4 linked regions of the Caenorhabditis elegans genome follow. The protein of the gene in region 3 interacts with the protein of the main gene of each other region in a pairwise test. Each region holds a gene or a part of one and is shown on either strand. Other genes may lie near its edges. The genes, in order: myo-3, gon-14, itr-1 and unc-54.

Region 1 (7,586 bases), on a different chromosome or scaffold from region 3:
AAAATTGGTTATACTGATAATAAATCCAGTTTGTTCGATTGTAAATTTCAAAACTTGATTGAAATATATTGGAGAGTAGGTTATCAGAAGGATTGACATTGATAAATCCATGAAAGCATTGAACCAGCAACAAATTATTGCCGGATTCTTTATCATTGCAAAGTATGGTATTATTCTGAAGTTTCGGCTGGTTATACGTTTTTGATAAACTAATACCTTTTAGTTTCATAATGTTCAAGTGATTTTCCATCTTGAATATGTTCCAATTCTCGAGTCCCAACAAATCGATGAGTCGCTGGATTATCCGAATAAAAAAACCCATAAAATAAAACAGATAACACTAGCAATCGAGTGTACGTAAAATGAAGATTCCCATCCAAAAGATGTTGTGCAGAACTAAAATATGGGAAACTGAACAATTAGTGAATTAGTTCTTCCCACTTATGCTGCCTTTAGTAAGTAATAAAAATTCAAAACTTTAAATTTTATACTAATTCTAGTGAACCTACCCATCCCGTTAACGAATCCGTAATTGAGGTGGCAAACGGTGAGAATATCGTTAGAGCAGAGACGAAAAATGCGTTCTCGTCAAGCGGAGCCCATTTCATACAAATTATTCCAATAACTGCAAAGTCTGCTGCATAAGAAATTCCTTGAAAAAATCGAATGATTAAAAGTAGATAGAAGTTGGTTGAAGCCATTGTGGGAATTAATACAGTCGATATAAATGAGAGAATTCCAGCCGAGAGAAATGTGAACCTATTGGAATAATGTTAATATGTATTAGAAATTACTTCCAAAAATATTTACCTTGCTCCAAATTTAACATAGCACCAATTATATGGAACAGTTCCTAGTACAGTTCCAATTGCTACCGCCCATATTATTTCTGCTTTTTCATCACTCGAATAGTCATAAATATTGTATTCAGTCTGGAAATAGGCGTTAACTTTTTTTTGATTCAGTAACTTACTCCATTTGGAGATGTCCTAATACCAGATGAGTCATTCTTCATACAAATGAATGTAAAATTTATGACTGTATAGTTCGAAAATATACTCATTAGACAGAAAAATGCAACAAACATAATTAAAAATCGAAATATTGGAATATCTTTTACCATTGTAGGCAATCAGTCAAACCGAATAAAAAAATAAATTCTCAATTACTTCTCCATTCTGAACTATTTGAACTGTTTGATGAAAACCAATGAAACAAGTGATTATAGTCTCTGTTTTCGTTAATTTTGAATTTTGCTTGATAAGGCTGCAACAAAGATCAGGTTGACATATATTTTCAGTAATTTATTTTAACCTGTACTCTATCACTGCCGGCTATAATAAGTTCTTGAATAAAATAATTTTCCCGACAAAACATGAGTATTTCTTTCGAAAATAAAAGTGCAGGCTAATTAGAGATTATTCTGTAATTAACTGCATAATTTGTCACGTGCCATAGTTTTACATTCCACTACGTCATAGTTCTTAAAATACTAATCTCCTGAAAATAGAAGTAGGTGAAGAAAGTTTAATTATCAGTTCTAAAATGACAATTGATCTTTGGAATATGTTCTGAAACTACCGATCATTGAACAGATGCTATTTGAATGATATAGAATTGTATATTTGCAATTTCTGAAACGCGTTCTTAAAGGCACACAGATTAATTCAAAAGGGTCTGGCCGCAAAAAGGTTTATGGTGGCCGATTTTGAGTTTTGTGTGTGATTGCTTTTTCACAATCAGTGTTTTCAGGATTATGTGATGAACTAGATCTTCAAGTTTCGTTACATTTCATATGTTTTCGGAACTCACGAAGTACATATTGGGTATTGTGCTCAAAAAATTCAGCAATCAGCTTCGCTCCGCTGACTTTAGAACCCAAAAAAATAGTATGGCCAAACTGACTGTGTTACGATCATTTCAATTTTTCAATACATATTTAAGATTTCTAAGAGTAAGAAGGTCAAAAACTGTTCTGGAATACATATATATTTTTCAGGTTACAATTAGTCAAAAAGTGCACTGAAATATACGTTTTAATTTCACGAATAACCCAATTAGTTCAATGTATTTTTGGTCAACCAACGTTAAAGTTTGGCTTCCAACCAATTATCATTTCTGATCAACCACAATGTTTTTTCTTTATCTGCAAGTTAATTTTTTATTTTTATCCAGATGTTTGGCATATTTTTCAATTCTTCACTAGCGCCCACTTCTTGCACTTCCGGCGCCCTGAATCTAATGCATCTGTTGCAAGAATTGAAAGACCAATCAACACATTGTTTTCTTCACGAGATACTGAAGAAAATGAATAAAAACAGAGAAAAAGAGCCATGTGATTAGTGACAACTGTTGCTAACAGATACCATAGCTTGGACTTGGTACGTGATGGCAACGTATGGGTCAACAAAAATGATTGCAGAGGGGGTGCAAAACAGTCAAGTCGAGAAAATATGAAAAACAGAAAACAAAGAACAGAAAAATGGGTTTGAGAGTCAGTATAATTTATAAAAGAAAAATTGTACATAGAAATTAACCATTTTTGTAGAAGAAGTTATTTTTCAAGCATCGTTAAAAATTATTCAAAGCACCTTATTTCATATTTAATTTTAAACATGGTTAAATGAACAACACGGTGCGCAATCAGGAAAACTTGAAATCTGAAACTGTTGTTGTGATCTTCTTCGCAACTGTTCAGATAGCACTAGTGTAATGTTAAGAGTGCGCGAATATAATGGAATATAATGGATCACACCTCCTGCCATCAGGTAAACGTCTCTGTTATCACATATTTCCAACTATTAAATTTTTACCTTTTACAGTTTTACATTTTTTTGAAAAAAGTAACTTTTTGTCTTCAAAATCCCTGACGAAAATATCAAATATTTTAATCGAGACTGCAGAGGAACCGATTGATGATTTGGAAAATCCAGCTTTACCTGTGTAAGAACTGAAAAGTTTCATAACCCTAGGGTATTCCCAGTTACATTCCCCACTGGCTAACAATAGCACCCAGTTTTTCATCACCTTTCTTCAAATTTCTCGGCGATTTGTTAAAAACAAAATTTGTGTCCCTTCTCTGATATCTCTATGTCTCTAAACACAAGTTCATCGGAAAACGAAGGAGGGTAGGTGTTGGTTGGGCTCCCGAAGTGAAAATAGAAGAGCAAGAATAGAATATTAGAGAGAGAGTGCAGAGAGGGCGGGATAGCTCCCGGGATTCCGTTTTCTTCTTCTTTATCTTCAACGATGATGTGTGTGCGTGTTGTATAGATTCTGTTGCTCCCCCACAACTCGCTCCGAAGGCTCAATACAATTCAATTGATATTGGAGGAGAGCCTACCGGAGTGGGAGGATAAGAAGAAACATAAGAAGAAGAAGAAGAAGAAGCATGCTTCTGGTTTTTGATGCTATGAAAACGGCACAAAAAGATGATTGAGGTCCCTTTTCAATACCTTCTCTCATCTTTCAAATCCCATTGAAACCTAAAACTTCTCACCACGCTTTACCATTGTTCTCCAAAAACTTATAGCAATGTCTATAACTTTTTTATCTCTGAAAAGCAGTGTTCCATTTTTCTTTTTCCTATTTTATTTCAATTGTTTCTCACATTTCGTTTGGATTCTTTGCTTGTCAACCAGCTTCTTCTTCCACTTTTACCGTCTAATTTTCAGGGCAGGGAGCCATCAAACCCACGACCACTAGATCCATCTAGAAATGTCTGGAAATCCAGACGCATTCGAAAATGATCCAGGATTCCCATTCTTGGGAATCTCGAGAGAGGCCAGAGCTGCCACTGCTGCTCGTCCTTTTGATTCCAAGAAGAACTGCTGGATTCCGGATCCAGAAGATGGTAAGTCTTGATTTCGAATTGAAAATTTTAAAGAAAAATTTTGAACCACGTGCTGTAATATTTGGCAAGAATATTTTCCCATAATTTTAATAGTAACTGTGATATGTTCTAATTTTAGAAATCAGTTGTCAACGCTAAAAATGTAAGGGTTACAATAGTGGTATTGCAAAGAGTTATGATGGTTAAGTTTGTAAATACTTTTTTTCTGTTAATGAAACTAATTTGGATACAAATTTTTCATTTGATCTAAACAGAACATCTTAATCAAAAAACACTTTAAAACTCTTGCTTTGATATTGTTTGTTCAATTTCCTAATTCTTACCAAACCAATTCAAGCTAACTTTCATTATGTCCATTCCATTAACAAAAACTATTATTACACCTTCTCTCTCATCGCCAGTGTCCACATTCATCCTACTCTCCTACGCTTTCATCTGTGTCTCTCAGATCTGCATTTTATCTATGATACATCACACTTTCCACCGACCCCGCCGGGCAACCAGTGGTGGCGGATTTTTGAACATCTGAGGTTCTCTCATCTCTCGGTCATCTGATGAAGCACATACACACATACACACAACGGCACTTTGTAATCTTTCCGGAGAAGCGGGCAGGCACACACGTACGCTATGAAGCCGGAGCAAGAGCTTCTCCTGCCGTTTGAACTGCGGCTTCTGCTGTTGGCAGGAAAGATGATGAGATTTCTTGGAATTTAAGATTGAGATATTTGACGTCCCACATTTTATGGATGGACAACAATATGTACATGTTTTGAAGATTTAATATTGAAATGTGGATATGAAATCGGAATTTAAAAAGTCAAGGTCAATAAAATGGTAATTCTGACCAGATCTATTATTCGAGGATGACAAATAAAACTAGGATTAAATCAAAAATACTAAATTTGAAAATGAAAAAGAAAAGATTGTTCTATAACTTATAAATCTCACAATAATGATTTTTGTACAGAAACAAAAACTAAATGACATAATCGAATAAAACATTCTGATTTTAATCAGCCGCATGCGACAAAACATATATTTCTTGGAGGCTAATATTAAATTTCAGGATTCGTCGCCGCCGAGATCCAATCCACCACCGGCGAACAGGTGACCGTGGTAACTGTGAAGGGAAACCAGATTACCGTCAAAAAAGATCAATGCCAAGAGATGAACCCGCCAAAATTCGACAAGACCGAGGATATGGCTAACTTGACCTTTTTGAATGAGGCCTCTGTTTTGGGAAATCTCAAGGATCGTTACAAGGATTTGATGATTTACGTAAGGAAATTGAAACTATTCAAAAAAAAAATTAATACTATTCAAAAATTGAACCGACTTAATTTTCAGACATACTCCGGACTTTTCTGTGTTGTAATCAATCCATACAAACGTCTTCCAATCTACAGTGAATCTGTAATCAAGCACTTCATGGGAAAGAGACGTAATGAGATGCCACCTCATTTGTTCGCTGTCTCTGATGAAGCTTACCGTAACATGGTTCAAGGTATGTGAAAATTTAATTGTTTTAGAACTTTATTTTTCAAATTTCAGACAAGGAGAACCAGTCTATGCTCATCACCGGAGAATCTGGAGCTGGAAAGACTGAGAACACCAAGAAGGTTATCTCCTACTTCGCTATTGTTGGAGCCACGCAAGCTGCTTCCGGCAAAGAAGCCAAGGATGGAAAGAAGGGAGGTACTCTTGAAGAGCAAATTGTGCAAACGAACCCTGTGTTGGAGGCTTTCGGTAATGCTAAAACTGTCAGAAACAACAACTCTTCCCGTTTCGGAAAGTTCATCAGAACTCATTTCTCTGGATCTGGAAAGTTGGCTGGAGGAGATATTGAACACTGTGAGTGATCTTTTATGATTAGTTTTTAAGAAAAAATGAGATTGGAGGAATTTAAATTGAAACTAGTGAAACCATTCAAAAAAGAAAAATATTTTCAGATCTTCTCGAAAAATCTCGTGTCGTCCGTCAGGCACCAGGAGAGCGTTGTTATCACATCTTCTACCAGATTATGTCTGGAAACGATCCAAGTCTCCGTGGAAAGCTTAAGCTTAGCAACGACATCACTTACTATCACTTCTGCTCGCAGGCCGAGCTTACCATCGAAGGAATGGATGATAAGGAGGAGATGAGACTTACTCAGGAAGCTTTCGATATCATGGGATTCGAAGACAACGAGACTATGGATCTTTACCGTTCCACTGCTGGAATTATGCACATGGGAGAAATGAAATTCAAGCAGCGTCCACGTGAAGAGCAAGCCGAGCCAGACGGTGAGGAAGATGCTCTCAACGCTGCTGCCATGCTCGGAATCCAAGCTGAGGAGTTCCTCAAGGCTTTGACCAAGCCACGTGTCCGTGTCGGAACCGAATGGGTCAATAAGGGACAGAACTTGGAACAGGTCAACTGGGCCGTTTCTGGACTTGCCAAGGCTATCTATGCCCGTATGTTCAAGTGGATCATCACCAGGTAAATAACAAAGAGCAAATATTTTTAATTAGGGTAAATATTATTCTACTTATTTTACTTTTAGATGTAACAAGACCCTTGACGCAAAGGAGATTGAGCGTAAGCATTTCATCGGAGTGCTTGATATCGCTGGATTCGAAATCTTCGACTTGAACTCTTTTGAACAGCTCTGGATCAACTTTGTCAACGAACGTCTTCAACAATTCTTCAACCATCACATGTTCGTTCTTGAACAAGAAGAATACAAGCGTGAAGGAATTGCCTGGACCTTCATCGATTTCGGACTTGATCTTCAAGCCTGTATTGAGCTTATTGAGAAACCACTCGGTATCATCTCTATTCTTGATGAGGAGTGTATCGTTCCAAAGGCCACTGATATGACCTATGCTCAGAAGCTTCTTGATCAACATCTTGGAAAACATCCAAACTTCCAGAAGCCAAAGCCACCAAAGGGAAAGCAGGGAGATGCTCACTTCGCTATTGTTCACTACGCTGGAACTGTCCGTTACAACGCCACCAACTTCCTCGAGAAGAACAAGGATCCTCTCAACGACACCGCTGTCGCTCTTCTCAAGCACTCTACCGACAACTCCTTGATGTTGGATATCTGGCAAGACTACCAGACTCAAGAAGAGGCTGCCGAGGCTGCTAAAGCCGGACAGACTGCAGGAGGAAAGCGTGGAAAATCATCTTCATTCGCTACCGTCTCTATGATCTACAGAGAGTCTCTCAACAACTTGATGAACATGCTTTATCAAACTCACCCACATTTCATCCGTTGTATCATTCCAAACGAGAAGAAGGCTTCTGGAGTTATTGACTCTGCGCTTGTTCTTAACCAGCTTACATGCAACGGAGTGTTGGAAGGAATCAGAATTTGCCGTAAGGGATTCCCCAACAGAATGCTCTATCCAGATTTCAAGCATCGTTACGCTATCCTTGCCGCTGATGCCGCTAAGGAATCTGATCCAAAGAAGGCTTCCGTCGGAATCCTTGACAAGATCTCTGTTGATGGAAACTTGACCGATGAAGAGTTCAAGGTTGGAGAGACCAAGATCTTCTTCAAGGCCGGAGTTCTTGCTAAGCTTGAGGACTTGCGTGACGAGATTCTTTCTAGAATCGTTACCATGTTCCAATCCCGCATTCGTTCTTACCTTGCCAAGGCCGAAGTTCGTCGTCGTTACGAACAACAAACTGGATTGCTTGTTGTTCAACGCAATGTTCGTGCTTGGTGCACACTCAGAACCTGGGA
Region 2 (9,685 bases), on a different chromosome or scaffold from region 3:
GTATCATTTTCATAGTTAAATTTTAAAACTGCCCGCTTTTTAAAACCTGGTTTACAATATCTGAAACCGGTGGTATTTTTTTTGCTTTCACAATCCAACAAGTGTCACGCATACTTTCTGGCTTAATTGAATTTCATAATGAAGAAGAATTAAAGATTTCCGAAGCGAAGGGGTCTTCCTGACAGGTTGACCATCTACTCATTTCTGTAATTCTTTTTTAATTTTGGAAAAGATTTTTGGAAAACCAGCAACATTTTTATGTGCAATTTTCATAATTATATGTGGGGTTTTCAATACTTTTTGAACCGTTCTATATACTTCCAGAAAACCTGAAATCTTACTGCAGGCTAGTATATTTCCTTCTACATACCTCATGACACAGAAGCCGTGGCAATACGTGGATTTCAAACTTTTACGTCACAAAATTTTATGTTGAGGATTCTATGTAGAAAAAAAGTGTTATGCGCCCAAAGTATCAAAAACACGAATTGCCACAGTTTTCAGAAGTCAATCTGAAATGGGACAAGCTAGGGTTCATAAATAGGACGTCCACATCGTTCTCGATTTTGATACATTAATTTTATTAACAAAAATCGATTATTTGGGCCAATATTATCTAGATACGGATTTGAGCCTGAAGTTTCCTGTTAAGAGGACGCTAAGCACACAAAATTTAAGAGGACGACCTAGTATGTCCTAAATAACAGCCATAGGAGAAGCTGTCAAAATTGACAGCAGACAAACTCCGCATCATATCTTTTTTATAGATGTTTTATGAAATATTAGCTTATTTATTTGAATTTAACTTTTTAACAGTGGGTTTATTTTCGAATTTAACAGTGGGTTTATTTTTATATTTTATGCCTGAATTTGATTGAACTGTGCCTCCAATATTTTATTGCTTCTCGAATGTTTCCGATTTTCCATTTTTCGATGTTTAAACAATTTTCTACCATCCGTCCAATGATAAACCTATTTTCTTCTACCGTTTCACGAAATTTGCTTTTGATATCAAAATGTCGTTGAAGTATTAATTCCACAATTCTTGTTTACAGCGTGACTCCTGACGTGCTCAAAGATGAAAAAATGGGGAGAGCAGAAGTGCGATATTAGTTTCGATAATTTTTTTTCTATTGAGTTTCTATGTATTAGTCAGTTTCATGAACCGGTAATGAACATTTGATTTTAAAAACTGTACTTGACGTCATGTGTATCAACGCCTTGAAAACAAACTTCCGGATTACAATGAAATTAATGAAATTTTCACATGATAAGGTTTTGAAATACTACACAGTTCAGGCACATTAAGAATTTGAAAAATATATGTATACTGTCTTCAGTTACGACAAATATAATTTCAAGGTGACATGTCAATGGAAAATTGCCAGATGGTAAATTGCCGGGAGGCCTAATATGTAGGTACAAATAGGTATAAATATAATAATGAAGTACAAGATGAGGAAAATGTCTGAAATTTGTCTATAGCAGCAAAAATTTGAATCTATGCAATAGGTCATATATTTGAGCTCATAGAACTACGAATTTTCCCATTTGGTAAAAAATAAATTCAGACTGAGTCTTCATTTACATTTTCAGGAACACTTTAACGATGAATTAGATCGGAAATTTTTTCAGTGCAATGGGTCAGCACTTTAGAGACCCCCAAAGTTTCTCAAAAATGTTGATTTTTGAAGCGCTTTGATGAATTTAAGAATGATTGTAGAATGTCAAATATGCTAGAGGCTTTTAGGAATTTTTTAAAAATAAATCTGAAACGTTTTTCATTCAACTCGATCAAAAAAATTTCCGATTTTTTCTGAAATATAAAAAGCTTTGAAAACAGCTCAAGTTGTTCCAAGAATCACATATTCTTATCAAAATTAGACATGGAGACAACTTCTATAAGGCAGTTTTTAAATTAAATATTTAGCTGAAAAAAATTTCTTTAAAAATTTCAGAACAGTTTGTCAGAATTATATAGGAACGAATATATTCTCCGGTTCACAAATGAATGCTCTATTGCATTTTAAATTATGGGCAATGGTCCTGCCACGACTGGAATGTTATCGTCTGCCGTACCAACAGCGTTGGACCACATCGATCGATGGTAGTTTTTATTAACTTTCAGTCATTTTCTTATTTTAATTTTATATTTTTTGTCGAAAGCAATTTTTAAAATTCATGAGTATTCGATGGTTTGTGATAAAAAATATTTTAAAATTAAAAAGTTTTACATATTTTTTTAATTGGAAAATATTTTTGATTTTTTTTTCTAATATAAATTCAGAAAAATTCTTGGAAGAAATAATTCGCTAAAACCTTTCTAGACTTATAATTTTTCATATAATCCATACTGTCGTTTGAACATTTGAAAAAGTGGGCACGGTAAGAAAATGTACGCAGTCTCATGACGGTGTTTGCGTACTTGAACATTTCCGCGTTTTCCATGGCCACAGTCAATTTATTCGGGGCATTCTTCTTTGTTTTTATTTTGATCTCTACAGATTTCAATCATTTTCCACTTTAATTCATGTCTCAGCAATTTTTATTGCACTTTTTAAATGAAACACGTTGATTTTCGTATAAGAAGTCTAAATTATTTCACTTAAAATAATATTTTCAAAAATGGTTTAAAAATCTATATTTTACTTTATATTTCAAAAATATACACTTAAATATTCAAAATACAAGTATAATACTTCTGATTTTCAATTTATTACTGTTGCGCCCAATATTCGCGCATGTGATACGATGAACAATCGTCTGCGATTTGCCGTCGCGGTGTTTGCGAGCCACAGAAATAAATTGTTCACAATTGTTTGCGCGTCTCTCACAACAGTAAATTTAATGGTTTTTCGCAAAAAATTTTGGGTTTTCTGGAAATTTATCGTTCTCTCTAAAGTTTTCATCTTTATTACGAAAAAAATTTCAGATGCTCTACAAATGCTGTAAATGTTTGGCGCTGTTGAATAAAAACAGCATGGTTATTGTCCCCAAGGATCCTGAGAATCTGAAGAATTGGATGGAAAAGTACGATTTCCAGATAAAAACGATAATGGCCGGTTCAGTTCACTTCCTGTGCAAAACACATTTGTCGGAGGATAAATCTGTCGAAAGAGTGAGGAAAATTAAATTCTTTGGAAATATGAATTACTTTTATTTACAGATTCCCAGTTCCTCTGTCGAATCAGCTACTGAACAATATATGTTGGAGATCAAAGAAGAGGAACCTTATTCTCAAGCTGGATCATCATCTGAATCATGGCCAGAAGTTAAAGAAGAAGTCATTGAACCTGTAGAAGAAATAGACTACGATCATATGCCATTTGAAATAGAGCAAAACAGTTATGAAACTTTTGATGAAAGCAAAAGTTACCACAATTCCTACGAGTCCGATCATCATCAACCAACAACGTCAACCTCAGCGACACGTGCAATCCGCAGACCTACAACAAAATCGCTAGAGTTCACAAATCTCCCGACTTACCTACAAGAGCTGTCTGATGGAGAAATTTTGTCGTTTTGTGTGAAAACCAGCAGCAATTTGAGCGGTGCAACCTCGTTGGAGTGCGGGATGTGCGAAGAGCAGTACTTTAACAGTACGGACACTCGACCGATCCGACATCATTTAATTAGTAGACATGAAGCAACAATGAAAAAATACAAAAATCATTTGTAAGTTCCCGTAGCTTTTAAAATTGTGTTCAATTTTATGTCTATTTTCAGTCCAATAACGGCAGCACCTAAAATTTATGCACCAATTCAACAAGTGACAATTGACAGAGCTGATCAAGCATTGACAAAGTTCTTTATAAAGAGTGGAATCCCACTGCGAGCAGTTCAAGATCGTAATCTAAATATGCTCGCGTTCAACATGAATTCAGAATATTCTCTTCCAACTGTTGAAACGATGCATTCATTTCTCGAGAAAATTGCTGATGCCAAAGCGGTAGGGAAGAAGGGAATTTGAAATAAAAATTCAAATATAAATGAATTTCAGAACGCAAAATTGAATTTCGACGATAGTCCAGTGACCATAACATTTGACACGACGACTTTCAACAATCGTCACTATCTGGCTTTTACAGTCCATTACTATCATATAAGGTCGCGCATGAGACGATGTATTTTCTTACGCGAGTATGATATGACTGGGTACGTTCAGTTTACAATAATACTTGTAACTTTCTATTTTTTATTTCAGCCCAATTGTGCCATCCGTCATGACTGCGATCCAGAAAACAATAGAAGAGTCAGGTTCCCGATTGAAAATCACCACTGTTGTAGCGGGAAAAGCAGAATTTGAGGATGCTTTAGAAGATATGCACTCGTTCAAGCAAGTGTAAGTGAACAAATCGTTCATTTTTTTCTCAAAATGAAAACTTTCAGCATGATATGCTTCTCCCAAAACATCAACAAATTCGCAGAGACTCTCATTGAGCATCCTGTCTTTGCTGGACCGCTTCAAAAGCTTCGAGACTTTATCACGAAATTTCCCACTCATCGAAATTCTTGGGGCAAATTCAAGTCCTATATCGTGAAGAAACGTACTTATGGAGAATATCCCGAAGTTGATAATGGTCACTGGATTACTACGTTGGATTTTATCACAAAGTGCCTTCACATGGTATTTGATAAAACAGCTAATCAGTCAGAAAATCATTAAACCATTTTCAGCATCGACTATTCAGTGAGTTTGTGTCTACAAGTGCACAACTTCAATATATTGATGTCGAGGATAATGTAAACATCGTATATCTTCATAGTTTGTTGAATCTATGCAAAAGTGCACTGAAAGAGGTAAAAAGAGCCGAACTTGTACAATTATACAGTATGTAATTCAGATGGTCGATGTGAAAGCAACGATTGCGGACGTAATTCCAGCCATTGCAGATATCAGTTTCTCTTTAATAGTGTAAGTCATAAATTTTTATTTTTTAAAAATAAGTTTCTCAGCATAGTCCGTATATTTAAGTAACCGTATAGTATTGTTACACTTTAAAAAATATTTCGAATCGTCAATTTTCCAGCACCACGAGTAAACAAACAGTCGTTGACGCTGTGAGCACGATCTTCAATCAACTTCTTCTTCCATTCGTCGAGCAATCAGATATACATCGCTTCGCTTTGTTCCTTCATCCTCTTCGTCATGGCTCTGATCTCCTTGCATCAGCCGACTGGATGAAAATCAAAACTGATTTATCCAGTCATTTATGTTGGTTTTACTACTTTTAAATTTTATATTTAAAATAATATTTCAGCTCTCCGTGAAGCAGCTGAAGCCACTCTTGCACATCCATCGTCATTCGACAATACGATAACTGCAGATGTAAGGAAAAATTATTTGAAGGCGCACGAATTCATTCTGATGGGTCTCGTCGCGCAAAAAAGTTTATGGTATTTTTCTTTAATTTTTGTGACTGCTTCCTCGTTTATTTTCCTTACGGTTATTATGTAGTTTCTAGCGATTTTTGCCGTTTTTATTTTTCTGTTAAACATGGTTTTAAATATGATTTTCTAACCTTTTGTCGGCCGGAAAAATGTAGAAAACTGATTTAAAACAATGTTCAACAGAAAATTTGAAAAACCACAAAATTTGCCAGAAATGAAGTAATTTCCTTGAGAAACGAGAAGGTGACCGGAAATATAAAAAAAAACTTCGAGACCTATCTGTATAAATCTTCGCTTTTTTAGGAAGGCATGTCAACATTTCTAGAAATCACGATATTCATTCCTATGGTATATATTTTTACAGAAAGAGGTCAATGCGTTCTCACAGTATGTGTGCAGAGTTACTGGTGTTGAAACTGGAATCATGGATTGGTGGGCTCGTCACGCCGGTCGCTTCCCTCGTCTGTACAAATATGCCAGAGAGCTTTTCATAATTCCAGCGTTTTCGATTGATGCCGCTTATTATCTCGGGTTAGGAAATTTTATTCGCTTAATTTCAATACAGTTGACATTTACAGAGAGTACGGTATCCTTACACATTCGATCAACGAATCAGATATCTCAAAAAGGAAAATGCTACTTCGTGCAGCGAGTGAATTAGTTGAATATCGGTAATTTTAATTCTTAGATCTCCAAAACTCATTATTATTTTATAGCTCGAAGGGATCTTTGATGTGCAAACCAATTTGCGTAAAGCGAAGAAAAGACGCCAATTCTCCTGAAGATGCTTGGTATCATGCAATCGATGTGAGAGCTCTACAGATTGTAGATGTACCATCAGACGAGCCTCCAAAACGAATGATTCCTCAACGAACGCCATTTGTGTATCAGAATCCAAACCCACTTCCACCGCATCGAATTCTACAATCGTTTCCCACAATTCGAACAAACAGAGAAGCACCACATGGAAGAAGTCTGAAAGATGAAATTGCAAAAATCGCTGCGAATAGACAGAAGATTCAGAGAGTGTACACTGTTGCTTCATCATCGCCGTACGCGAGGCCTGTTGTCGTTAAAACCGAATCCAAAGAGGGCATTGTTGAACAACTGACTCCATCGGCTCCTCCACCGAAGAGGTACTACGCAGTACGACCTGCGGCAGGCAATGGAACAAGTGTGATTCGCGGAAAAGATGGTCAAGTATTACGAGTTATCAGAAATACCCCTTCGTGAGCTGATCAATTAAAAAAAGAAAATATTCGATTTTTGAAATATCGAAAAAAAATGTTTCAGAAAATATTTTTTTTAAATCAATGTTTACGTTGATGAGAAAGCATAATAAAACATGAATATTTTCTAAAAAGCAGTGAAATTATTAAGAATTTTGAGCTATTTTTTGAAAAATCAAAAAAAAATTTCGAAATATCAGAAAATTGAAAGTTTTCGATTTTTCAAAAATTAAACAATTTTTGGTTTTTAATTTTAGTGAGAAATCAAACAACCGACATCCTTGTATCAAAGGTGTCGCCATAAAATGTTCGATTTTCCGGTATTTCTCATAGAAAATAGAAAAAGTTGTTCGGTTGTTTTTTTTTGGAAATAAAATTTTATTCAAAAAAAATACGAGGAAAGTATGTATAGATTTATCTCTCAAATCAGAGAAATGACATTATTCATAAAAATGAAATGTTTTCCAAAAGATCGAAAAACAAAATGTTCGATTTTTTAAAATAAAATTACATCCTTTCTGCTGATACCATTATTAACCTAAATTAAATATATTCAACTTTTCAGAGTCTCCTTCAACTTAAACACTCCTCTGACTGCATCGAAAAAGATGTATTTCATTCGTACAAAAACTGGTGTTACCCATCAGCTACATCAACCTCCACAATAATCCCAGCTCATACATCTGTACCTCAATTCACTTTAGTTATTTGTCACTAGTTGGTATTTTCATTGTTTTGTTTTTGTTATGCTACTTGTTTCGATATATCCGCATGTTGTTTCAAATTGACTATGCTAACGTTTTCTTTTCTCATCGACCAGTTTACTTCCCTGTTCTGTTTAATAGTTCTCAATCATGTTATTTTTCTCAATTTTTCTGAAGAGTATCTTATCATTTCTTTTTTTCTGTATTCCCAACTCACCTTGACATTTCTGAATTGTTGACCCAGCAAGAAACTTTGCATACCCTCTGACTGGTATTTCATATTTTTGGGAGAAAAAAAACGTTTCGAAAATTTGTGAATTATTATGTGAAAAAAAAAAAAAAAAAATTATCCTATCGCGTTTTCCTTTCTGCATCTAAGTCTCCAATGAGTCAGCACAAACACATTGCGAAACATTTTCTGTCTCTTTGGTATAAATAGAGAGTTTCCTCTCTTTGAAATGATTTGAAGGTTTTACTGATATCAACGTTATGAAATTTAGTCATCTCGTCGCGTTTCTTTTCGAAAAGTTTTGAATATTCAACTTTACGTTTTTTAGTTTTGGAAATTTCAGTGTGTTATTTCAGTTTATATAATGTTTCTGAATTTATTACAACACAAAATTATGAAAATGCGTAATGCGCTATCTGACTATCTGACGCGCAAAATATCTCGTAGCGAAGGCTACAGTAACTCTTTAAATAACTACAGTAGCTGTGGTGTCGGTTTACGGGCTCGACTTTTGAAACGTATTTATTCTCGAATAGTGATAAATAGCGATACTCTATTTTTCTTCGTTTCTTCGTATTATTTTCTCATTTTTGCTTAATATGATAAATTATATCTACATGATAAGTCAAAATGATCCCGTAAATCGACACAGGCGCTACAGTAGTCCTTTAAAGAATTACTGTAGTTTTCACTACGAGATATATTGCGCGTCAAATATGACATTAATAATATTTACAAAATACAGATGTTTTTTAAAAATATCTTTGTCTTTAGACAACTACTGCTATAATCTCTCATGCGTATATCGTATATTCGTTGAAATTTTAAAATTCAGTTTAAAGGCGCACACTATTTTTCTGTGTAGGTCTCGCCACGATCTCAGCTATAGTGATCGCTACAAGCTTCAAATTTCATGCATTGGTTCATTTAATGTAGAAATGTACGACCAGTTAGAAAAATACCAAACCAATATGTTGAATAAATTAACTTCAAGCCAGATTTTCTACAGTAAACATTAAGATTGTATCACCGTCCGTAAATCTATATATTCTTAGAAATGCAGCGATATTAATGATTAACAACAATTCGTGATATATACTTTCGTTATTTTAGAATTCCTAATATTTGAAAATACACACCTCTTAAAAAGAGTCATTTTCAGAAATGACCACCAACCCATCTGTCCACGAGTTCGAGACTCGTGATCTTAAAATTGCCGAGGTGAAAGTATTCACTGATAGAGCTGAAATCCGTCGTCTTGTCAAAGTTTCATTGAAATCTGGTGTCAATGAAGTTGTTCTCAAGGTTTGTAGAATATGAACAAGTTTTTCAAGTAGTTTTGAATTTAGAACCTCTGCAAAACAATGGCTCAAGGATCAATTAGAGTTGAAGGAAGAGGAAATGCAATCATTCATGATGTAGTTATTAAGAATGTTTCTCGTTTGCCAACTGAAGCTGATCCTCCAAAGGTTGGCAAGATAATTAAAATTCGAAAATATATTCTTTTTTTTAAGATCACCAATCTCAAAGCTGCCATTCTAGAGGAGAAAAATCGCCTCCAAAAAATCACAGATCGCGGAACGGTTGTCCAAAAATGCGTTGACAATTTGGACAAAGTTTTCGAACAAGTTGGTGGGGGTCTCGTGAATCCACCAAAAGATGGTGTTGCTTCTTTAAATGAAGGAACTTTGGAAAGTCTTACAAATTTCTTCCAATTCTATGGGAGCAACTCCGAATTATACAGAGAAAGTGAGTTTAAACGATAAATTTGAGATTTTAAAAAACTTAATTTTTTTTTCTAGAACTACGATCAGTTGAAGCTGGACACCGTGAGCAACAGGAAAAAGTTTCGAAACTGGAAAACGAGTTACGAGCTCTAATGCACAATTTGAATGAAGAAGCGTTCTCTCAGTGAGTTTTTGAAAAGTTTAAGGTGGAATTGTGCCAGTCGGGGAATTTACCAAAATATACTAAAAATGGGGCAAAAACAACTTTATATGTCTTTTCAAATCTTTCTTAATCTTAACTCAAACTTTTGGCAACATACCAAATTTTGAATCATTTAAAAAATTTGAAAAACTATCAAAAAACCCATAAAAATTTGAGGCGCACAATGAGCTATGCTTTGCTTT
Region 3 (7,552 bases):
GTTTCTGACGATCCGCGAAAATTTTAACCGTTCTATGAAAAAACCTAAATTCAAAAATTACTTTCTAGTAAGTTGCCAAAAAATGTGCTTCAGTTCTCAAACAAAACTATGAAAGTTAAGACACGAAGAAGGAAACTATAAAATGTTAATGGGTTGGTGTTTTGAGTTAAAATGGGCAAAAATGAAGAGGAGTGAGGTTGTCAAAAGCTAATCAGTGACCACAGAAAATAGGCGAAAAAAAGAAGGGTGATATCATGACGTTTTGCTTGTCCGCCTACTACTCGGCGGATATGCCCACAATCATTTCACTGTTTCGTGACGGAAAAAAAAATGGAGGAGAAGGAAAAAGAAATGATACCGAAACAATCAAAATATGAACGAACTTCATGAACAGTTCAACAAATATATTAGCAATATTCGATCATCTCCGTCACGCTTCAGAGGTCGCCAAATATTGTTCTCGGTCAACTCGAAAACTCGGAAGTAACAAGGTACTCAGTAATGGACTTAAATTTATATTCAATCTAATTTTGTCCATAACTCTGGATTAATAAGTGACAAACGGAACTAACCACAATAGTCTGTTTAAAACAGGAGAATCATCAATGATAGTTTGCAAATTAATATTATCAGTCTAAAAAATCAAACTAATAGTATTAAACGGATTATTTAGTTTTGCCATTGTCTGGAAAAAAGGAGTATGGGAACACAAATTGCGATAAGTACTTCATCAGAAAATTTACGTAAAATTTAAAATTTAAAATAAATTTTAAAATTTATAGGGATTTTTTTATTTAGAGGTGGTTATCAAATTGTGCGACTGCACCAAAAAATAATTTTGAACGCCATAAAATTTTCCGAGATTTCTCGTTGTGATTTTCAGTATTTTGAGAAAATCTTGAGTCTATTCAAGCAACAACTCAAAACTGTTACTTCCCCTTCAAAAGAGATACACCTTGGAATCTGGATATGCCAGGATTTACTATAAATCGGTTATAAGAATACGTATCATTAACTTTAGATTTAAATCAAATTCATCAGGTTCACATGCATTTTTATTATTCAAAATTGATACATATTACTTCAACATTTAATTGGAAGTTAGTATTGCTTGCAATAGTTCACTGATTTATTCGAATCTCCAAGTTAATTCAAAAATAGAAGCACATATGATTTGAGAAAAAAAATAACTCGAGAATAGTTTACCAAAATTTTTTCCAATCAAAAATACCTCAAATAAATGATCATTACACCCTTTTTATATCGGCGACCTTGTACTTTTTTCCAAAGTGATACCGATACCAGGAGACCATCTCGATATACAAAGTACTTGAGAATGAGCAGCGTTTCTTCTTTTTCAAACAAATTTGAAAAGGCTCTTTTTTCTTGTTGATACAGGAATATTCTCGCCATTCACGTTGTTTTTTCAATTGTTTTTTTTTTGATAACAGTAAAACAGGATTTGTAACAAAACAGCCAAATGACACTCAATTTATTCTTCGAATAATACGATTTTTCAAGAATACAAACTAACCTGGATTTCCTCATAATTTGTTCCTCAAAATCATCAAAATCAAATTCAATTCGTGTGCTTCCACCACCACTAGCACCTCCACTGGCCGTCGTTTCGTTTTCGTCTGAAAATTGTGCAAAACTAAACATTTTCTCATTTTCTTGTCATTTTTTAGACAATTTCTTCACATCGGATGATCGACGGCACGGTACGCTCAAAGCAAAAGGACTATAAAAGTTTAACGATCTGTGTCACTTCTACACCACACTCTTTTACACAAATCACATTTGACACGGTTTTTAATTTTTTTAAGGAAGTTGTTTTTAATTTTGAAATAAGGAGTGATAGGTTAGTTAGCGTGTAAATTTTCAGAAACATGCAAGGATTTGAACTCAAAAAAGCTATTTAAAAAAACAAAAAAAACCATGAAGTGACAACTAAACATCTAAAACATTTTGGTTTTATGAGCGAGAAGCTGAAGACGATTATGCAACGAATCACAGCTGTGAAGCACGTTGTTTTATGAGCAAAATGTTGGAAAAAAGGAAAGCAAAAAACTGAATAGAAACGGCAATATAAAAACATATACACGGAACGGGAATATGTTTTATTTAAAAGTTGGTTGGCAACTTGCTCATGCTTTTTAATACTCAGTTAAATGAAAAGTATCGCCAGTGAGGAAGTTGTTTCAAATCAGCCCAATAATATTGAAATTACCGGATATCTTATAGTTAGCAGAGCTTTGTAAAAAATTATCAAAGTTTTTTACTTACAGTGAAACAGTGACAATTACTTAATTTTTTCACCTATTTTGGAAGTCGGCAATTGTTAACAATTTTTATAAAATTTTGAATTTCATGAAAATTGAAATTATTTTTATTCAAATATTCTAGAGGTTCACATCTGTAGCAATGCTCGAAATTACTCAAAAAGTCCAAACTTTCTGAAAAATCTACAATTTACAAAATTTCACCAAATCAAAAATTGTGGAGTGTTTTATTATGATTGTCGATTTCGGTATTTTCCTAAATTTTTCACAACCTGTTAAGGCGTTTATACCAAATAATTTTCAAGTTAATTATCATTTCCTTCATGCATTGTCTCTGGATCATTCCTCTTTTGAATTAAAATGGCAAATAATGATCATCTAGCTTTTGATAATGAACATATTAATCGTACTAGATCTTTCATCAAATAATTCAGTCACAAACCAGAACGATCAAACTCTCTAGCCTTTTTAATCGAATTTGGAATTTACAGTTCAGAGATTGAAGTTGTGTAAAGAGAAATAGAGAGAAAAAGAAATTGATCAGGTCGACAATTTGATGAACGATTCGATGACGTCTAATGTTAGAAATCAACGATACAAACTATTCGACAAAAAGATGAAGACGACAATAAATATAATGATATTCGTGTTCGAACATCAATCATTTTCGATTAGTTACGATGCCAACGAGACAACAAAAAAACATCTGTAAGTTCATTTTGTAAAATAATACGAACAGATGTGTGGAAAGAGGAAAGAGAAACAGAAATTTATGCATATCGTTTACCAGGAAAATATTAGAGAAAGAGACACAACAATCGGTATATATTTTGTTTGTTGAAACATTCATGAAATAGATGTATATGCCTCACATACATCAATAGACAACCAAGACGGTACGTAAGCCGCTTACAGGTGCCCCTTTTCTTTTGAAAGACAAGAAAAAATAGAGACCTCCGGGAACAAAAATGTGTTTTAAAGTGTTTTGCTGGTTGATGTCCCATATGATTGTATTTGTCTATTGTTTTATCGATATGCTCTAACGGTGAGTCAATAAATGCACTTTTTCTAGAAGAATTGAAAAAAAGTGTTTTTTTTTTAAATATTTTTAATTCAAAACTCTTTCATCATAGTCAAAATCAAAACCGGTTCTCAAAAGTTTGGCTTTATATTCAAATCTACTTTATGGACCAACTTTTAACACGAACAATAACAAAACATATCCTGTGAAATGGCGCCCGGTAATTTTAACTTCCATTTTACACATTTTGGTGGTTTTATTAAGTGTTTCTTGTTGGTTTTTTTTCTGGGGCGTTGGCCAAATAAGTTAGGCTCAATTTGAGACTATTTAGACGTTGGTTTTGAATTTTGAGAACAATAAATATAGTTCGCTACTCAACCTTTAAGGTTAAAAAGAAACATTGAAACTGAGAAAGTTCTGAGTTTCCTGTACATTTTTCAGTGATTTCATCAATGCTAACCGTATCAATTAGATTTAAGTTTATCGGTGAAAATTTGAAAAAAAATAAGATCGTTAATTGAAGCAGATTTTAGAAGTTTTTTTTTAATGTAAAAACTTACATTCATAATGCTCGGGAACGAACTCTGGAATAGATATAATGGATACTTTCTTACGAACCCGGCCATATGATGGATTCATTCTGGAATACTTTTTATGAAAAATGGAAAATAAGAAGCACAAAATCAATAAAAGTTTAAAAAAGAAATTGTAAAGCAAAATCGTATTAAAAATATAGTGACTCTCCAAAAAAGAACGGAGGAAACGTGTCACAAAAGGAGAAAAAGAGGAAACGTTTCTGAATTGAAAAGATTTGATGTTAACGTCTTGGACGGTCTCATGGTTCAGAGAGTTTTCAACAACAAATTTCTATTGGAAATTCTTTCATTTCATCTCCATTTTTCTTGTTTACTTTTTTGCAGGTAAACCCGCGCAAATAGTTGAAGTTGACACAATGTCAAAATGAGCGCGAATACCAATTAAGAAAGGTCAGATCGTTGGCATCGGTAGACAGACAACAATGAAAAAAATAGATTCCAGATGCGTTTGATTTGAAGATAGGAGGAAAGGAACAAAAGATGGTGGGCAACGGGAACCAAGTCACACTTATCAAATTAAAGGAATTAATGGGAATTCAAATGTATTAGCTGCAGTAGTCAATAACATCGAGATTTACAAGAAAATTATCTTTGAACAAATACGATACACAACGCTGAAACGGTGTGATACATAGCATGCAGCAATTGCCGTTCGGTAATCGACTTTTCGACGATTTCGGCAATCGCTGAAATTGTCGATTACAGGAAATCAGAATTGCCGAAAATATAAATGTGATATTTTTTGTAGATTTAGGAGCCCAAACATGAATTTTAATGAACAATGTTCTCTCTTTTCAAGCTCAAAATGATTTAATACTTGAAGGGTTGCCCGTTTTCTTTTAGAGAATGACTAACCTAATACAATAATTTTTGAGACATTTTCAAGTTGTCTCAATAGGTATTTAGGATCAATTTTGATTCTAAAAACAATCACCCAAATTTTGCTACTCCATCTTTAAGTGGAAAAATGAAGTAATATCGTTCCTGTTTTTCCATTTTAGTTTCGAAAATGATACAAGTTCAATTTCAAAAGTTGAAATATTCAGTTACTTTTTATAAATCTCATGTCTCTTTCATATCCCGCTAGTAATTCAATTCATATGAGCAGTCGACTACCATTTTGGAAGATAAACAATACAAATACGGGTTGCGAGAGACGAAGAGATCTCCAAGTGACACTTATACCGAAATGAGCGAAAGAGTTAGCGAATACATTTGTTTTGCGTACTATTAGCAGAGCTTTGAAACAGGGCGCAGCCTAAATTTGGGAGAGAAAGAAGATTTGTACGATTACGGAATAGAATATCCTACAGTAGAAAGTTAAAAAACATTACAAAATGAAATGTGCTTCATTAGGACAAAACAATATATTTTATTGTAAAACTAGTGGAAAAGAAAAAAAAAAAAGAAATGAAGAAGTAGTATTGGACTCCAAAAATATGATGTTTGATACTTTTCTGAAATGTGATAGTTTTGGAAATTAATGCGCGGATTTTTCTGAGCATTTTCTGAATCCATCGACTTTTTTAAAACTACATACCACATCTCATCTATTAATTTTAAATTTAATTTTTGCGGAAATTCCCACAGAGTATAGCCGGTCTGTCGGAAAATCAGTGCATGACAAACTAGAAGCTACAAAACTAATAAGGGAAATACGGGTTGTTTCAAACTAAATGCTTATGTTCGAATTGCAATATTTCATTCTGACTACCTTATTAATTTTCCCTTATTTTCCTGTTTTCAGAGCTCATATACATAAAGTTCACTTAAAAACCAGAACTAAAAAATCACGTACCGTTTTTGAAATTGACACACAATGTAATTTCACAGTTGGACGGAGCAGAAATCAAGGTTAGAAACATTTTCACAGTCTGTACTAGTTTTGCATTATATTTTCCTGTAATATTTTGATTTTCAAAAATCCAAAACCAAGATCCCTTTCGTACATCCCGTGATTGATTAAACAACAATGAGATTTCGAAAAGTCAGCATTTCTGCTCGAAAATCGTGTATCAAATCACCTTTGACCCTGTAGCTCATCATATCTAAACATTTTACAATCTTTTGATTCTTCATTCACATAAATCCAGTGGACCTCTTCCGTATTACATCAACTTCCTCGTAATATTTACAAATCTGTCGGAAGACAGTTTCGCACCTCACACCGCAAAAGTGGGCGGCGTGTCCGTGGCGGTGGTGGCCGGGGGTTGCAATGTGTCCACTCAACAGAAGTAACCTGTCTCTTTTCCCTCAATCCACCTGTCATCTTTTACTATCCTAAATTGACCATCACATCTTTTATTCTTATCACTTCCGGATGTCAAATGAGCAATTATGTGGTTACTGTATCTTTTAATTCTGAAACCATTTTTGTCGTCTTCTATAGACCTTTTACCGGCAAGTGTACCAAATGTATGTCCTTTCCGTCCAACCAGTTGTAATTTATTATGCCCTTTTGGATATTTGAAAGATATTCTTCAACAATGTATCTGCACATGTGCAATGGATCCTTGCCAGGTTAGGCTTTTTGAAAGATCTCTGATATTTTTTTGAATTCTTCTAACACTCTATAATATATTTAACGAGAAATAATTGTTCTTAATAATATTTTACTTTCTATATTAATGTTTTAGACGACAATTTGTGGACCATCAGAAAGTTGCATTGCAATTGGCGTGAAAGCACGCTGCATTCCAAAGTTCGGTAAGTGTACATCCAATTATGGTGCGTGACCAGTCTCTTTTGGGAAGAGAAGTGACAATTATCTGGCTACTACACGGCTAAGCTAGTATTCGGACACGTTTTTGTGAATACTCTGTTCCTTTTTTGCCAAAGATTTTTCTCGATTTTCTATAAAAGACAATTGAAAAACGAAAAAAAAACGAACAACGGTTACATCACATAATAACCTTCTATATTAGAATTTCTCAAAAAATAAAAAATCAACTCATGTCCTTAACAAGAAAAACTAAAAAATGCATTTAATTTCTTCAAAATTACAAAAAAGAAATGTACATATGTATTAAAGTTAATTTCAAGATAATTCCAAGAATCAAGATAAATTTTTTGAAAATTCAAAATTGAAAATGAATTTTTGATAACATAATTTTTGTATTTTTTGTTTTCAAGTATGAAAGCTCATTACATATTTTTTGATTCAGGATCAAATCGAGAAGAATGCCCACGATTAACTGGTGGTATATGTGCACTTCGATGTGAAAAAGACTCTGATTGTAGTGGTCGGTTGATCTGTTGCTCGAACGGATGTGGACGAGAATGTGTTGCTCCAATTGCTAAAAGTTTTCAAATCGACAGAGAAGTTCCAATTCAACCAGTTTCTTCATCATCTAATAACATCCCTGGTTCCTTTCAACGTCTCATTAAAGCTGTATCAAATATTGGATCAACTCATTTCAATATAACTCCAATTCCACCAACGATACGAAATCTTGCGAACTCTCTATTTCCAACTCCTTCACCAATTCGTCCACTTCCTACAACAAAAGTCGGTCAATGTCCTTCTCCAACATCAAATAAATCAATATGCATTGATCAAAAACAATGTGCAAATGATTTGGATTGTGGTAGTGTTGATAAATGTTGTCAAAATGCATGTGGATCAACTTGTATGGAACCTCTCAAAGCAACTG
Region 4 (7,319 bases), on a different chromosome or scaffold from region 3:
GTTTAAGGCTAATTTTCGAAGATCTAATAGCTCTGTAAAAGTGATTTCTCGTCAAAGACTTGACTTGAAACAGTCTAAATCATACAAAATACACACTGTTATATTATTTTATCAATTTTTTGAACACTTTTAAGTTTAATTCAGCCAAAAAGTGGCAAACTTGTTGAAGTTTCTACAAAATATTGCTGGTATGGCAAAACGAGAGGTGCAAGACTATTATAGGCTGGAAGACTAATTTTTGATCCGTAGGGATGCAAAGCTACTCAAGGATATACGGTAGACTTAAAAGGGGAAAAAAGAATAAATCTAGTATTATTAGCCAAAACAATTGAAAACAAGAATGGATTGGATAGTCTGATGTGCACGCTTTCTGATTGATACACCTTTTTTTGTCAAGATAACAATCTAATGTACACTGAAGGGTTGTATAACTCGGCAATTTGGTTCTCCTACCTTTCGCACTTATTCACTTTACTTCGCCTTTCTACACCCATTTTTTGTGCACACCGCCACGTTCTCACCCTTGAGAGGGTGCCTTTATATCGCACATGTTCTCCTTTCCTTTGCACTTCCTCTGCTATATTTCGCCAAAATAATCTATGCAAAGAAAGTGCGAAAGGTGGAAAAGGGCGAGGGAAAAGAGAACCAAACCGCCGAGGAAGAACAGCTGTTTTGGTAAAAAATCCGACTATTGTGCAACTCCTATCTTTGATGTCCATTCGTTATCGACTTCAACATCTTCCAAAGATGAACATTGAACATTTTAAATGGTACAGCGTTGAAATAATATTTTCTCATTTTATTCAAAGTCAGTTGAAATAATTCAATGCAGTTGTTTCTAATATTTTGACAAAGGTTGCAATCTCAAGTTTTGCATTTCCAGTGAAGGCATTTTTGATACTTGAATAAACCTGTAAACAATGCTTCAGAAGACTATCTGAAAAAATGCGCTCCATTTCGATAGCACCATTTTTCAAGAGCTATTTAACTTTTGCAACTCGCATTACATACGTTCTCGTTTCCCATGCTAACAGAAAATTAAAAGTATGTTGAAAAACACATTTTTGAATAATAAAACATTATGTGCCAATGTAAGTCCGCTTGTTAAAATTATCATCTTCTTTAGATATTTTTTGAATGGCATATAGGGCATTTATTTGAAAAATTTCATTTTTCGCTTTATAAAAACATCGTAAAATGAAAAACAAAAATACTTGATATAATTACCGAATAAACCCTTCGATCGACTCAGTTAAATATCAGTGTTGTATGTGTGTGTGTGTGTGTGTTGTCATCATTTCGTTTTCCGATGCTTCCTCTTCTTCTTCTCCATTCCGTATTACACAAGACTTGGAGGGGAAGAAATGTCGGTGGCAAAAAGAAAGAAGAGTTACGGATATAAGAATTGAAGCAATCGTGCAGTGTGTTTTTGTGTTGTTTTTTAAGTTGTAGAAGTATCAAAATATAGAGGAATTTATGAAGTCACCGCTCAAATGTGAATATGTTAACGAATCTAAAAATGGTTCGGTAACCAGTACTAAAGAAAATATGGTTAAACTGCGACAGCCACTAGTGAAATTTTTCCACCTGCCACTTAGTCAAATCTGTTGAGCTTAAACTGGCTCGTCACTGAGGCTGGGTAATACAGGAAGTTTGGTTCATTGTACAGTTGGGTTTACATTTAAAAGAATATATCACAGAAAATCAAAGAACGTGTAATTTATCTTATCATCCCGGAAATTTCTTCCAACTGACCCTTGGCTTTTGTGTATCTCTTATTACAATCAAAAAACCTCGTCTCCTCCCGGTGGAACCCAGAAAATGCTGCTGGATGCTCCAAGCGCTCCCACATGCCTTCAAACTCCTAGGCGCCTGGAGATAGTGTTGCAATCAAGGAGAGCGCGAGACGAAGAATCAGTTGTTACTTTTGTCTGGGTCTCTAGGGGTTTCGTGATATTCCCGTGTTGTCTTACAGCATCCGCGAATTGTTTTCGTCAGGATGAAGTATGAGATTGTGGGATTTGGAGAGAAGCTGATTTGCTGGAGAAGCACAAAAATCTGAAGAAAATGTTTGAAGAAGATAAAGCAAACGGAAAGACTATCCAGTTACATACATACTATCATGAGAATGATTTATGAGCCTTTTCGTAAATTTTTAGACAGATACTATTATCAGGAGACCTTTTAAAGCAAACGCGACAACTTCATAGTAGTTACCAAGGCTCGAAAAATTGATTGGTGCAACTTGAAGTTCGAATGAGTAGAATTGATAAGTATTACAGGTGCCTCCAAATCGATTGTCCGCCACAATGATATACCTCGAATCCATCTGATCAAAATTATTACTGTAGCATTGAATCGCAGTACCGTAATCAAATATTAAATATTTTTGCCCCCCTCTCCTCTACGTATCAATAAAAATAGTCTTAAAACTTACTTCGACTCCAAAGTAGGTTAGTATCAATTTTGCAGACTTTATTTGTAATGCATTTCTAACAAGGAAATTTTTACATTTTACCCTCAAACTTCAAAATGAGACATGTTTCATCTGAAGTGTTTTAGATTATGTCACGAAAGGTATGTCACTGCAAAATTTTAAGCAGCAATACTTTTCTCTCAACCCCTAAAATATCGATCTGAAATTGTCTCATTTAACCACTACTTTAGAGACCTGCATAATTGCTCTAAATGCTTTTTTGCAAACTTTGAAAGTTTTTCAGGAAGTGTAGGTAAACACTCCGGGAGGTTTTTAAAGAATTGTGATTTTTTTGGAGAATTGGTCTAAAAATTTTTTTGATTTTTTTTTTGAAAGAATTGTTATAACAATTTTCTTGATTTTTTTGCAAAAAAAATTAAAGGAAAACTGCACTGAAACAATTTCAGATCAACAATTTTAGGGTTGATATTAGAGCTTTGCCGCTTAGAATACTGCAGTGAGTATTTTCGGTTTTCACTGGTCTCTGTAAAAAGAGTAATGCAAAGGCAAGTTAACTAGGTCGTAAATGTATTGATTTGCTTAAAATCTGAAGATCTAGTGGTGAACCGTGGAAGATTATCAAGAGGAGGCTGAAGATCTGTTTAAGAACCATTAATCAAACTGGTATTCTATTTTCACTGGTTGTATGTAAACATTCTATCTTATTCCTTTTATCACTGTTCTGCACTTTCCTATAAAAAAAGTTGACCGACCGTACTCTCTGAATTCATTTTTCCCGATCTTACCAACTCCCGATCTATCTCTATCCCTGGTTTTTTCTTCGTGCTCCAATGGAATTCTTGAGACTTCCACTATCTTCTCTGGCACCCTCCACTACGCGTAGGCGTCTCTCGCTTCGTGTATTCCCGGGAAGCCGGGTTCCCGTCTCTCCCGCCGCTGCCGCTGCCGCACACAGCTTTACACCTCGTAGAATCCCCAAAGAGGGGCGTGGCTTGCGGGTGCCAACATCCTCCTGCCGAGGAAGAAGCAGGCACTCATCACTCGCATCATCAACCTCGACTAAGGGAGCACCACATTAGTTTTGAGGTAGAGAAACCATTTGAAAGAAGCGAGAAATCATGGAGCACGAGAAGGACCCAGGATGGCAATATCTCCGCCGTACCAGAGAGCAGGTTTTGGAGGTGAGTATTTATTTTTTATTTATTTATTTTTCTTTCATTTGTCTTTATTGTTATGCTCATTTCTATAGAGTAAATCGTATAGTACTCCATAAGTATCTAATTTTAACAAAACTGAGCATTTATTTTTGAAATTCTAGATTTTTAACATACAACTGAGTTAAAGTCTGCCATTTTACACTTATAGATTTTTTAAATTCAGGTAGAAGATTTGAGCTTGCCTTGTAATCCTTGTAATCAATGTTTATTTCTGTTTTCTAATTTTTCATAGATTTAGCTTCAAGATCATCTTTCCCTTGAAATCATTGAAATCTTCCTTTCTTAAATTTTTGCATTGCACTTGGAATTTTGTGACACATTGTGCTGCAGTAGTACTGTATTTTGAGACGGCACATTTATTTTGACTACACCACAAGCTTAACCTTGATTTTACTTTTTGATTCCATTCCATTCATGGGTCTAAAGTGTGAAGCGGTTTAGACCATTTTTCAACACAAGTTGGTATTCTTTAGAAGTGATATATTTCTGAATTCTGATCTCTTTTGTACCATTATTGTAATTTCAGGATCAATCTAAGCCTTATGACTCCAAGAAGAACGTCTGGATCCCAGATCCAGAAGAGGGATACCTTGCCGGAGAAATCACCGCCACCAAGGGAGACCAGGTCACCATCGTCACCGCTCGCGGAAATGAGGTTCGTTTTTAAGCTAATGATTACGGTTTTCAATGTAGTGTGATTCAGGTCACCCTCAAGAAGGAGTTGGTTCAAGAAATGAATCCACCAAAGTTCGAGAAGACCGAAGACATGTCCAACTTGTCTTTCCTCAACGACGCCTCTGTCCTCCATAACTTGCGTTCCCGTTACGCTGCTATGCTCATCTACGTAAGTTTCATTGAAACTTAAAGTTAAGCATTGAGAATCATTCATATTCTTCTTCTAAATTCCCATAAAATCCCGAAACTCCTTCCCTCTATCTTCTTTTCTTCTCGTTTTCAAATGTTTCTCTCTATCCCATTCTCTCATCAATTGAGTGGGATGAGGCTATCTCTGCCTCTCTTCTGAATCTCTGAACCATCTTACATTACACTGTGGATGACGGGAGCCCCACAGGCTCCCTTGCATCAGATACTGCCATTGGGGATGGCAAAGAAGAGAGAAGGTATTGTGAGGATATATTTTTCTAAGAAAAAACGTTTGAAGAAAAGAAGATGAAGAAGATCTGCTTGATTCATTGCACAAGTTAGAAGTAACAGGGGTCTATATTTCGAAGAACTTAAAGGGAATGCAACTGAACATAAAATTAAACAAAGGGATTGAATCCTGCAGTATTTAAAAATCGAAACTAGAATGTTTCCTATTTCAGACCTACTCCGGACTTTTCTGCGTTGTCATCAACCCATACAAGCGTCTCCCAATCTACACCGACTCTTGCGCCCGTATGTTCATGGGAAAGAGAAAGACAGAAATGCCACCACATTTGTTCGCTGTCTCTGACGAAGCCTACCGTAACATGCTCCAAGACCACGAGAACCAGTCTATGCTCATTACCGGAGAATCTGGAGCCGGAAAGACTGAGAACACCAAGAAGGTTATTTGCTACTTCGCCGCTGTCGGTGCCTCCCAACAGGAAGGTGGAGCTGAAGTTGATCCAAATAAGAAGAAGGTCACCCTTGAGGACCAAATCGTCCAGACCAATCCAGTACTTGAAGCCTTCGGTAACGCCAAGACTGTCCGTAACAACAACTCATCCCGTTTCGGAAAGTTCATCCGTATCCACTTCAACAAGCACGGACGCCTCGCATCTTGCGATATCGAGCATTGTGAGTTACTTTTTGATTTATATTCTAGCATAGCTCAATAAAAATTATGCAACTATTGTTTTAAACTATAAATTTTGCAGACTTGCTCGAGAAATCTCGTGTCATCCGTCAAGCTCCAGGAGAGCGTTGCTACCACATCTTCTACCAAATCTACTCTGACTTCCGTCCAGAGCTCAAGAAGGAACTTCTTCTTGACTTGCCAATCAAGGATTACTGGTTCGTCGCCCAGGCCGAGTTGATCATTGACGGAATCGATGACGTCGAAGAGTTCCAACTTACTGATGAAGCTTTCGACATCCTCAACTTCTCTGCCGTCGAGAAGCAGGATTGCTACCGCCTCATGTCCGCTCACATGCACATGGGTAACATGAAGTTCAAGCAACGCCCACGTGAAGAGCAAGCTGAGCCAGATGGTACCGATGAGGCCGAGAAGGCATCCAACATGTACGGAATCGGATGCGAGGAGTTCCTCAAGGCTTTGACCAAGCCACGTGTCAAGGTCGGAACCGAATGGGTATCCAAGGGACAGAACTGCGAACAAGTCAATTGGGCTGTCGGAGCCATGGCCAAGGGTCTCTACTCCCGTGTGTTCAACTGGCTTGTCAAGAAGTGTAACCTCACTCTGGATCAAAAGGGTATTGATCGTGATTATTTCATCGGTGTGCTCGATATCGCCGGTTTCGAAATCTTCGACTTCAACTCCTTCGAGCAGTTGTGGATTAACTTCGTAAACGAGAAGCTCCAACAATTCTTCAACCATCACATGTTCGTCCTTGAACAGGAAGAATACGCCCGTGAGGGTATTCAATGGGTCTTCATCGATTTCGGACTTGATTTGCAAGCGTGTATCGAACTTATTGAGAAGGTAAGATTGAATTGAAATTTTAAATGTATTTTGATCAATTCTTATTTTTCAGCCACTCGGTATTATCTCCATGCTTGATGAAGAGTGTATCGTACCAAAGGCTACTGATTTGACCCTCGCTTCCAAGCTTGTCGATCAACATCTTGGCAAGCATCCAAACTTCGAGAAGCCAAAGCCACCAAAGGGAAAGCAAGGAGAAGCTCACTTCGCCATGCGGCACTACGCCGGAACTGTGCGTTACAACTGCTTGAACTGGCTCGAGAAGAACAAGGACCCCCTCAACGACACCGTTGTCTCGGCAATGAAACAATCCAAGGGAAACGATCTTCTCGTCGAGATCTGGCAAGACTACACCACCCAGGAAGAGGCCGCCGCTAAGGCCAAGGAGGGAGGTGGCGGTGGAAAGAAGAAGGGAAAGTCCGGATCTTTCATGACCGTCTCTATGCTCTACAGAGAGTCTCTCAACAACTTGATGACTATGCTCAACAAGACTCACCCACATTTCATCCGTTGTATCATCCCCAACGAGAAGAAGCAATCTGGTATGATCGATGCCGCTTTGGTTCTCAACCAGCTTACCTGCAACGGAGTGTTGGAAGGAATCAGAATTTGCAGAAAGGGATTCCCCAACAGAACCCTTCATCCAGACTTCGTCCAACGTTACGCCATCCTTGCCGCCAAGGAGGCCAAGTCCGATGACGACAAGAAGAAGTGCGCCGAGGCTATCATGTCCAAGCTCGTCAACGACGGATCCCTCAGCGAGGAGATGTTCCGTATCGGTCTCACCAAGGTCTTCTTCAAGGCTGGAGTTCTTGCTCATCTTGAAGACATCCGTGACGAGAAGCTCGCCACCATCCTCACCGGATTCCAATCCCAAATCAGATGGCATTTGGGTCTCAAGGACCGCAAGCGCCGTATGGAACAACGTGCCGGACTTCTCATTGTTCAGCGCAACGTCCGTTCCTGGTGCACTCTCCGTACCTGGGAATGGTTCAAGCTTTACGGAAAGGTCAAGCCA

The links.
Region 1: the proteins of itr-1 (region 3) and myo-3 interact in a two-hybrid assay, tested with the Caenorhabditis elegans proteins (one study listed by BioGRID).
Region 2: the proteins of itr-1 (region 3) and gon-14 interact in a two-hybrid assay, tested with the Caenorhabditis elegans proteins (one study listed by BioGRID).
Region 4: the proteins of itr-1 (region 3) and unc-54 interact in a two-hybrid assay, tested with the Caenorhabditis elegans proteins (one study listed by BioGRID).

The regions. Positions count from the first base shown.
Region 1 is NC_003283.11:12,230,432-12,238,017, reverse strand, and holds the start of myo-3 (Myosin-3), read left to right. Parts: upstream 1-3,674; 5' UTR 3,675-3,717; coding exon 3,718-3,853; intron 3,854-4,237; exon of another isoform or gene 4,238-4,373; intron 4,374-4,428; exon of another isoform or gene 4,429-4,621; intron 4,622-4,922; coding exon 4,923-5,134; intron 5,135-5,203; coding exon 5,204-5,360; intron 5,361-5,407; coding exon 5,408-5,707; intron 5,708-5,805; coding exon 5,806-6,334; intron 6,335-6,398; coding exon 6,399-7,586. UniProt on the Caenorhabditis elegans protein: Essential for muscle contraction. Involved in ovulation likely by regulating the contraction of gonadal myoepithelial sheath cells.
Region 2 is NC_003283.11:6,604,406-6,614,090, reverse strand, and holds gon-14 (HAT C-terminal dimerization domain-containing protein), read left to right. Parts: upstream 1-2,932; coding exon 2,933-3,118; intron 3,119-3,166; coding exon 3,167-3,675; intron 3,676-3,726; coding exon 3,727-3,949; intron 3,950-4,000; coding exon 4,001-4,155; intron 4,156-4,204; coding exon 4,205-4,342; intron 4,343-4,389; coding exon 4,390-4,627; intron 4,628-4,677; coding exon 4,678-4,800; intron 4,801-4,844; coding exon 4,845-4,915; intron 4,916-5,030; coding exon 5,031-5,215; intron 5,216-5,261; coding exon 5,262-5,329; intron 5,330-5,755; coding exon 5,756-5,922; intron 5,923-5,969; coding exon 5,970-6,062; intron 6,063-6,107; coding exon 6,108-6,620; intron 6,621-7,185; coding exon 7,186-7,288; 3' UTR 7,289-7,658; downstream 7,659-9,685. Other genes in the region: ZK1055.7 (Protein F37C4.5), read left to right, coding at 8,718-8,858, 8,903-9,022, 9,068-9,302, 9,356-9,464.
Region 3 is NC_003282.8:7,671,564-7,679,115, reverse strand, and holds the start of itr-1 (Inositol 1,4,5-trisphosphate receptor itr-1), read right to left. Parts: upstream 3,943-7,552; coding exon 3,864-3,942; intron 2,585-3,863; exon of another isoform or gene 2,435-2,584; intron 1,638-2,434; coding exon 1,535-1,637; intron 1-1,534. Other genes in the region: C08G9.2 (uncharacterized protein), read left to right, coding at 6,237-6,419, 6,536-6,605, 7,064-7,552. UniProt on the Caenorhabditis elegans protein: Receptor for inositol 1,4,5-trisphosphate, a second messenger that regulates intracellular calcium homeostasis.
Region 4 is NC_003279.8:14,859,687-14,867,005, reverse strand, and holds the start of unc-54 (Myosin-4), read left to right. Parts: upstream 1-3,523; 5' UTR 3,524-3,555; coding exon 3,556-3,618; intron 3,619-4,180; coding exon 4,181-4,309; intron 4,310-4,357; coding exon 4,358-4,498; intron 4,499-4,979; coding exon 4,980-5,436; intron 5,437-5,516; coding exon 5,517-6,301; intron 6,302-6,353; coding exon 6,354-7,319. UniProt on the Caenorhabditis elegans protein: Required for muscle contraction.